Linked DNA regions of Danio rerio. The protein of the gene in region 1 binds, or shares a complex with, the protein of each later gene. Links are inferred from orthologs where the notes say so. Each region holds a gene or a part of one and is shown on either strand. Other genes may lie near its edges.

Region 1 (3,822 bases):
TCCTTTTCAATGCATCTGCTTGAAAAAATGACTGTGACTGTTTTACTCACTTATCTGCATTTGTGTGTATTGCAGGAGACTGAACACCCTAAACAAGTGCGCTCTTATGAGATTAGAGATCACCCCTCAAAGAAAGAGAGTAAGTGTTTTGTCAGAAACCCCTTTCCCTTTATTTTGCTGAATTATTTCACTCTTATGTCCAGTCAGAAATCCTAAGAGCCTTAACCTTTTGTTTGCTTTGCATGATGGTTAATTATGAGGAAGTGCAGAATGTCCTAATTAAGGGTTGTCGTTAACTCCTCTCCTTCTTTTGATTTTCTTTACTCTTGTTTGTCATGTTTTTTCTCACAATGCGCATCCTAAAACCCCCTCAACACCATAAAAGGAAGAGAATGCACAGTCCGCCGCTTTGTCGGCGTGGTTTAAGAGCGAGTGTGTATAGTCTAAGACTGCCCCAAAGCCATGACTCAAACTACATGCAGGTCTAGAATGCAACAACAAACAAGCCAACTATGTAATCACAACAGGGAGCTTAGGAAGATAACCGTCATGTCTCACTGCGGCTTCTTTTTCTTGTTCTTAAAACTAGTAAGTCTGAACAATGACAGCTTTGTCAAGTGTGCGTCCTGTTAAGAAAGCTGATGACCCTTTAGTGTCATCTTGTGTTGATGGAGTCAAAGGTAGAGGTCAGGAGATGACTTGAGGAAGTGATCTGCCCTTTTCAAACATACAAGCAGAAACCATTCTTGGAATGCACTGATCTGTTCAGGTGGCCTCTCTAGAGTCCTCCTCTGTTCCTCATCTTCCTGTCCAAGCAGCTTATTTTAAAGTCAAAACCGTCTTTTTGAATTAATAGTGGATTTTGTGGTGGGCAGTGAAGAAACGTTGCACTCCAGGTCTTCGTTTCTTCTGATCAAAGGCTTGCCCTCAGGGGCCATAAAATAACAACCCAGGTTTTACGGACTTTCGTCGCCTCCGTTATTATGAACCGTGAAGGAGACACCTCTGGATCCCGCGACCCCCTGTTAACCGGCTAGCTAGTTTTGCTTTTGCTGATTAGTCAAGGCTCCAGGACAAAAAGTCTGTTCAACAGCTAAACTCATATCAACTAACTCAACTAGGTGCGATTGTCAACCAATTCTATATTTTAGGATTAACTAACTTTAGAAAATTATATAATTTTATTGGGCTGTAATCTATTCAGCTAAAGTTAATAACAGAGATCCAGCATTACAGCAAAACATGTATATGACACATCTAATTCCTTTGTCCAGAAGTCCATCACAGTATATGTTGTTCTCCAGGCTTGCTTGAGGTGATTGCATTGATGGGGGATGGGACCAGACCTGCCCTCTCAGGCTGGGGTGTGAACCCTGAGAGCTGGTCTGGAATTTTGTGTCCACCACCCCCTTCCTTCCATCCCTACCGCCCTGAGGGAGGAGATAGATTAACCCGAGTAAAGCAGAGAGGAGGAATGGTGTGCATGTGACTGTGCTGTGACATAGCTAAGCCAACCACAATAAAAGTTTTTTTTTTTTTTTTTTTTTTCAGTTAGTGGAACCAGGTTTCAGGAATATGACCTAGCTTGATCAATTCCTCATGAAATTAAGGAAATTAATCAGATCATGTTTGACACAATGTGTTGACATAACTGTTTTCCATATCGTTTCAGAGTGAAGACTCTGATGAGGATGAGCCATGTGCCATAAGTGGCCGTTGGACTTTCCAGCGAGACAGCAAGCGCTGGTCTCGCATGGACCAGCTGGACCTTGATGTATTCTCCCCTACTGCAGGGGACACTGGCTCCTTCGCTGCATTCCTATCCCAAGATGAGCATTTTGTTAGAGGGCCCCTTCAAAAGGAGGGTGTTAATGCCAGTGTGGAGAGCATCTTAACGGACCTTAGCGAGCAGCCAGAGGTGGGATCTCTGCATAGTACTGGTAGTGGAGGTCGAGGAGGATCACTGAGTACCACTGTACCATCCAGTCCTGCTACAACCATCTCCAATGCTAATACAGCCACCACAACAAGAGCAAGCTCAGTTGCCAGTGTCTGTTCTTCTGGAACATCAGGTGCCAATGAAGACTCCATGTCTGATGGGCTTCCATCGCCCCTGGAACGTGGTACCTTTGCTTTTGATGTAAAACCAAACTTGATAAGTAGTGCAGCTGAAAAAAGCACACGGTCAAGAGCAAAGAGCTTTTTAAAACGCATGGAAAGTTTACGTCTACGCACCAGTAGCAATGCAGGCTCCAAGCGCAAGAAGAAAGGTGTTCCTGGGCATGGTAGGTTGGAGATCAGTGGGCCAGTGCTTAAGGAGGGTCTTGATGAAGACAAGCTGCGTCGGCTCAACTGTGTTGACATCGCAACTCTGGATCGAAATGCAAACCGAAATCGAAGCATCTCCTATTCAACGCAAACAAGCAGTGGGAGTGCAGGGAGTAGCCAATCAGAAGCTAGCAGTGGGAGTGCTGTAAGTACGCCCAGTCCAGTTTCAAGAGCACGTAGTCACAGCACAGCAGCCGGGTCCAGCAAGAGAGGTGGGATGTACTTGGAAGGTTTTGACCCATTTAACTTTGTTGTGCTGCAACCTTCTGAAGACCAAGATGTAAAGGAGAACCATCAGACCCAAAATAAGAGGAAGGAGCCCAGCTCAACTGATGAGAACAATCGACGCAACCGTCAGAGTTCAGATAATAGGCAAATGGAGGATGAAGAGAGTCGCGTAGAGGAAGGAGGTGTGATCTTTTTCTATTTGCCTGAAGGCCACAAGCCTGGCACTTTTCCTAAAGCACTTGCGGATGGAGGATCCTATCATGGTGTTGACAACACAAGTCGCCGCCCACCCCGGAGGGGCTCTTCTGCTTCACTAGACAGTCGAATGAGTATCTATGATAATGTTCCTTTCTCGGAAGTGGGAGATGATGAGGACGAAGTAGGAGAGGAGGAACCAAAACTGGAGGATGTGTTAGAGCGAGTCAGAGGTCTGCAGCAACTGGTCAATGAATGGCCAGAAACAGGAATTGGGGAAGAGGAGGAGGATGAAGAGGAAGAGGAAGGAGATTCAGATTCAGCCCTTGACTCTGCATCTCCTTGTCCATCATCTCCACTGCAGAACCGCTTAGAAGAGACAGAGAATGGCAGCGACCAGGACAGCACTGGAAACCCATTAGCAGAAAGAGATGAGACACTCAGCTCACGTGAAAGATGTGACTCTGGAGTTGAAGCATCACTTACTCGAGCCAACAGGTAAAACTCATACATACACACAAACAGACACGCTAACCGAGTAGTCTTATGTTTTCTTATTGGCAATTCAACTAAACTATTCCTGTAGCAGTTTAAAGCTTTGGAAGAACTCTGTGGAAAGCTATCATGCCAATATAGCACATTGAATTAAGGCACAGGGAGGGAGTGAGAGAGCATGTCAGAACGGCTCTCCTTACATAACAAGGGATACTTGAAGGATACAGATTCCTAGTGGAATGCGCCACAGGAATTCTAACAGCCCCCACCTGGTGATAGAGGCCTTGATTAATCCCTGTTATCTGCAGCTGATCCTTTAGCTTGTGTTTATGTGTGTATACACAATATGTGCAAGTCAATGTACTTATTCACATTGCACTGTGTGCATGTGAGTCTGTCTGTTACCATAATAAATATTGTGTGGTTCCTGTAGTGCAGTTTATAAACACTGATTTATATGTGTGCATAATGTCTATGTTTGGAACATTTTGTGATTGCTTGAGCTTGGTTAGGTGTAACATATGTATGAATGTTTGTGTTACAGAACTCAGAAACTGCGCTGGCCAAGTTTCCAGA
Region 2 (3,822 bases), on another chromosome or scaffold:
CCCATTATTAATGAAAAATATTATTGCAATGATGAACACTCTCAGTTCCTATTGTTTCTTGTAGATGACAAATTTCCCCCTGATGCCATAGTGGAGTTTGTGTTTTCATCTGGGCCTGAGAAAATTAAAGGTAATGTAAAACTTTGCTCAAACTGCAGATGATCTTACTAACCTTTTAATTTCTCTTTCAGGGACCATGACATTGTTTGACAAATAGTTTTCTTCCTTGAGCTAATGTGCAGAATTTCCATTAAAATGACAGGGCCACATTATGTGTGTGTGTTTTATTCAGGGAGAGTGAGCCAAAGGAATGATCCAGCTGTCAGTGTGGACTATAACACAAATGATCCAGTGGTGCGCTGGGACTCATATGAGAACTTCAATCAGAGGCATCAGGACAGCCTAGAGGGTACTACTATTCATTCATACAACCACACACTGGTATTTATGCAAGCATTCAGAGGGAACGTACTGTTTTATAATACATTTGGCTTTTTAAAATAAATATATGCATTTGTTCAGCATGAAATTGTCTATAAAAGTTTTACTTTTGCAAAAGACTAATAATCTCATGTAAACCAGTTAGCTCAACACAATTACTAAGCAGTAGAACTGTTGAAATACTCCAGAATCAGAATACAAGAACGGTTTCTGAGAAATCATGGGAAAATGAGTAATAGCTGCTACAAATTCAGCCAGCATTTTATTAAATTACATTTTTAAAAAGCAATAAGGTAGAAAGCATGGTAACACTTTAGTTTAGTTCAGAACTTATGCTATTAACCACTGGCTTATTACCCGTCTGTTATTTCAATATTAAAAGTTCATTAGTAGTTATAAAGTATGATCTTATTCTGCTTCGCTAATCCTACCCAAAACCTAAACCTAACTTCTAGCTTGCTAACTAATAATAAACAGTTAATTAGTAGTGATGGGTCGTTCTTGATCGATTCGTTCATTTTAAGCAAATCTTTTGTCTGACTCAGGGAGGAGTCCTCTCAGGGAGTGATTTGTTTCATTTGCGCGTGTGCACATTTGTGCTGGTGGAGTAGAAAAATAGTTGCTTTTTCGAGTCTTCTTTCAAGTATCGTTTATCACATGAAAGACAGAAGCCAATTATATGCCTTTAGAGCCGGAAAAAGATTTGATCCGTTCATCTCTTGAGTATTTGATTTGCGTCCTTCGTTCATCACATGAAAGACAAAAGTCAATTGTATGCATTTAGAGTTGGAAAAAGATTTGATCCGTTCATCTCTCTGGTCCTCGATTTGAGTCCTTCATTCATCACGTGAAGGTTAGAAGCCAATCATATGCATTTAGTACTGGAAAAAGATTTGATCCGTTCATCTTTCGAGTCCTCGATTTGAGTCCTTCGTTCATCACATGAAAGACAGAAGCCAATCATATGCATTAAGAGCCGGAAGAAGATTTGATCCATTCATCTCTCGAGCCCTTGGGTTTGAGTCATCTCTTTTTACATGCTGTCATGTGACGTGATGAACGAATAATTTAAAAACCAGAAGACTCAAAAGGTGAACTAATCATGGCTTTATTCGGCTTGGACTGTGTTCTCTGGTTAAGCGTATATGGGACTGTCAGCACGACATGAACGAATCACTCTAGTTTGAAGACCTGTCAGAAAAGGTGAGCTGACATGTTTGTAGTGTGATCAACGTTCGAGCTTGTAGATGAGTTTGGAAGCAACTCGTAACATTTAATAATATTTTGGCAAATTGTACAAAATGACTCGAAAAAAAGATTCATTCATCTCAATGAACAAGACTCAAAGGTCAGAGTCAGTAAAATTATTGGAACTTCCCATTACTACTAATTAGTAGTTTATTAAACTAGTAGGGCTAGTTAATGGTTTATTATTACTGTGAATTGTAACCTAAAATAAAGTGTTACAGAAAACATTTAGTTTAATTTGTTTAATAGGTTGAAATAATATTTTACACTGATGTTTTTTACTATATTTTTAATTCAATAAATGTAGACTTTAAATTTCATAATGACTTAAAATTGTGGAATCAAAGTATATAAAGTATAGATTATTAAAATTATTTTATGCATCAAATATTGATCTTGCAATTACTTCTCTCCAGATATTGCTCATACACGTGGCCCTGTAGATGGCAGCTTGTATGCACAGGTTAAAAAGCGCCGCGCTGCTGCTGGCTGCTCCTCTCTGCCATCGACCAATGGAAGCCCTGCAAGAAGCTCTGAGGAAAGACCAAGTCAGCTTTTGTCTGTTAGCACTGATTCCGGACACTCATCTGTTCCTCCTGATCGACTCGATGAACCGACTCGACCGGCCCCGCCTACTCAGCAAGAGAGGGAGGAGCTTGAGCGGCTATTGGGTGGGATTGAAGGCGATGGACTGAGAGACCGTGACCGAGAGACGGCTATTTTGGATGATGGTGATTCCTTGCCTCCTGAAAGAACTGGGTCTCTGAGGTTAGGCCGTTCATGTTCTTGTCGTGTGGGTTACCGATCTCAGGGTTGTGCTGAGCCTGGATGTAATGGATTTCATCATTTACCCAATGGCCATTGCCTTGATCGGCCCACCACCACTAATGGACACACAGGGGCTCTGTCTCCAGGTATGTCATCTGTCATAGGACTTTGCCAACATCACAGCACCCATCCTCACCAATCCCTTCCTCCTCCAGACCTGCTCTGGGACCGCCAGCAAGGTCCACAGCACTACCTGCATCGCACTTGTTCAGAGGGACCATCTCGCCACCTGTATCCATATCCATCCCAAGAGATCAATTCTCATCCACACAGTCTGTCCCCCCGACTGCTTTGTAGACCAGATGAGTACATTTCATATCCTCACCATCATCACAATCATTCACACCATCCCAAACCCAGCGGACCCTACCATGATGTCATGATGATAGATGGCCTAGTGACACCCGGCTGCCCCTGTCGAGACTGTGCTCTACGACGAGAAGAGTTCCACACTTTACGTTTGGACAGAGAGGATGGAATACACTGGGAGAGAGAGGCAGAGCTTCACCGGGATAATGGGTTAAGACGGACAAGAGAGGCTGACATGCAGAGAGGGGCAGAGATATGGGAGCGGGAGCCAGGACTAAGGAGAGGAAGAGAGATGTCTCTTCACTGGGACAGAGACAGAGATGCAGAACTACAGTGGGAGAGAGAACGTGAGGCTGAATACTGGCACAGAAGGGCTACTGTATCCCCATACGGGCCCCACGGTCATGAATTACCTGCGTTTAATTTTGATCCACTCCCAGCAGGCCATCCTGCATACCCAGAACCCTCCCGCTCTCACTCTCATGCCCATCTGGATCTTAAATACAGCAGCAGCTCCAGTGGCTACCAGACACCACACCAGACGTGCCCTTGCTCCCCCTACCAGCCTTCACCCTCAGAGAGTCGAGGATATGCCTCGGGTTACCAGTCTGAGTCTACGTCTCCTCTTCCGCCTCCATCTGCCTCCTGCCCCGGCCCGGTGCACCATGCCAGTGGACCTACAGAAAACCAAACTGACCCCCATTCTCAGCATTTCACCTCTGACTCAAATACAGGTGAGGACTGGTAAAGTTGTTTCAGTTTAACTCTAATTAGTTATTGCAGAGTACTGGACTATTAGTGAAGCTTTTGAAAGCATGCTAAAAAGACTGTATATTTTTCGTCTGCATCCATTTTCATCTGTGCATGATCAAATTTATTTACAAGTCTTTACCCTATCATTATCAGATTGCCCTGGTGCAGATAGCATAGGATGGCGTAATCATATTACCCATGGATCCCTCCGGCGGATGCATCCACATGCTCCATATTCAACAC

Evidence for each region.
Region 2: the proteins of dlc1 (region 1) and tns2a are in contact, whole or in part, in an NMR structure (PDB 2LOZ), measured with the Homo sapiens proteins. The link is inferred for Danio rerio from reciprocal best matches to the Homo sapiens genes DLC1 and TNS2. Residues at the interface, in NP_001335010.1 of Homo sapiens: Glu811, Asp812, His813, Lys814, Pro815, Gly816, Thr817, Phe818, Pro819, Ala821, Leu822, Thr823, Asn824; in NP_736610.2 of Homo sapiens: Asp1268, Leu1269, Leu1270, Arg1271, Gln1272, Gly1273, Ala1274, Ala1275, Cys1276, Lys1317, Ser1319, Ala1320, Gln1321, Thr1324, Leu1387, Asp1388, Pro1389, Asp1390, Gln1391, Val1403, Leu1404, Leu1405, Gly1406.

The regions. Positions count from the first base shown.
Region 1 is NC_133176.1:16,800,983-16,804,804, reverse strand, and holds part of dlc1 (rho GTPase-activating protein 7), read left to right. Parts: intron 1-75; coding exon 76-139; intron 140-1,672; coding exon 1,673-3,249; intron 3,250-3,790; coding exon 3,791-3,822. UniProt on the Homo sapiens protein: Functions as a GTPase-activating protein for the small GTPases RHOA, RHOB, RHOC and CDC42, terminating their downstream signaling.
Region 2 is NC_133198.1:10,676,491-10,680,312, forward strand, and holds part of tns2a (tensin-2), read left to right. Parts: intron 1-64; coding exon 65-130; intron 131-292; coding exon 293-409; intron 410-2,105; coding exon 2,106-3,560; intron 3,561-3,732; coding exon 3,733-3,822. UniProt on the Homo sapiens protein: Tyrosine-protein phosphatase which regulates cell motility, proliferation and muscle-response to insulin. Phosphatase activity is mediated by binding to phosphatidylinositol-3,4,5-triphosphate (PtdIns(3,4,5)P3) via the SH2 domain.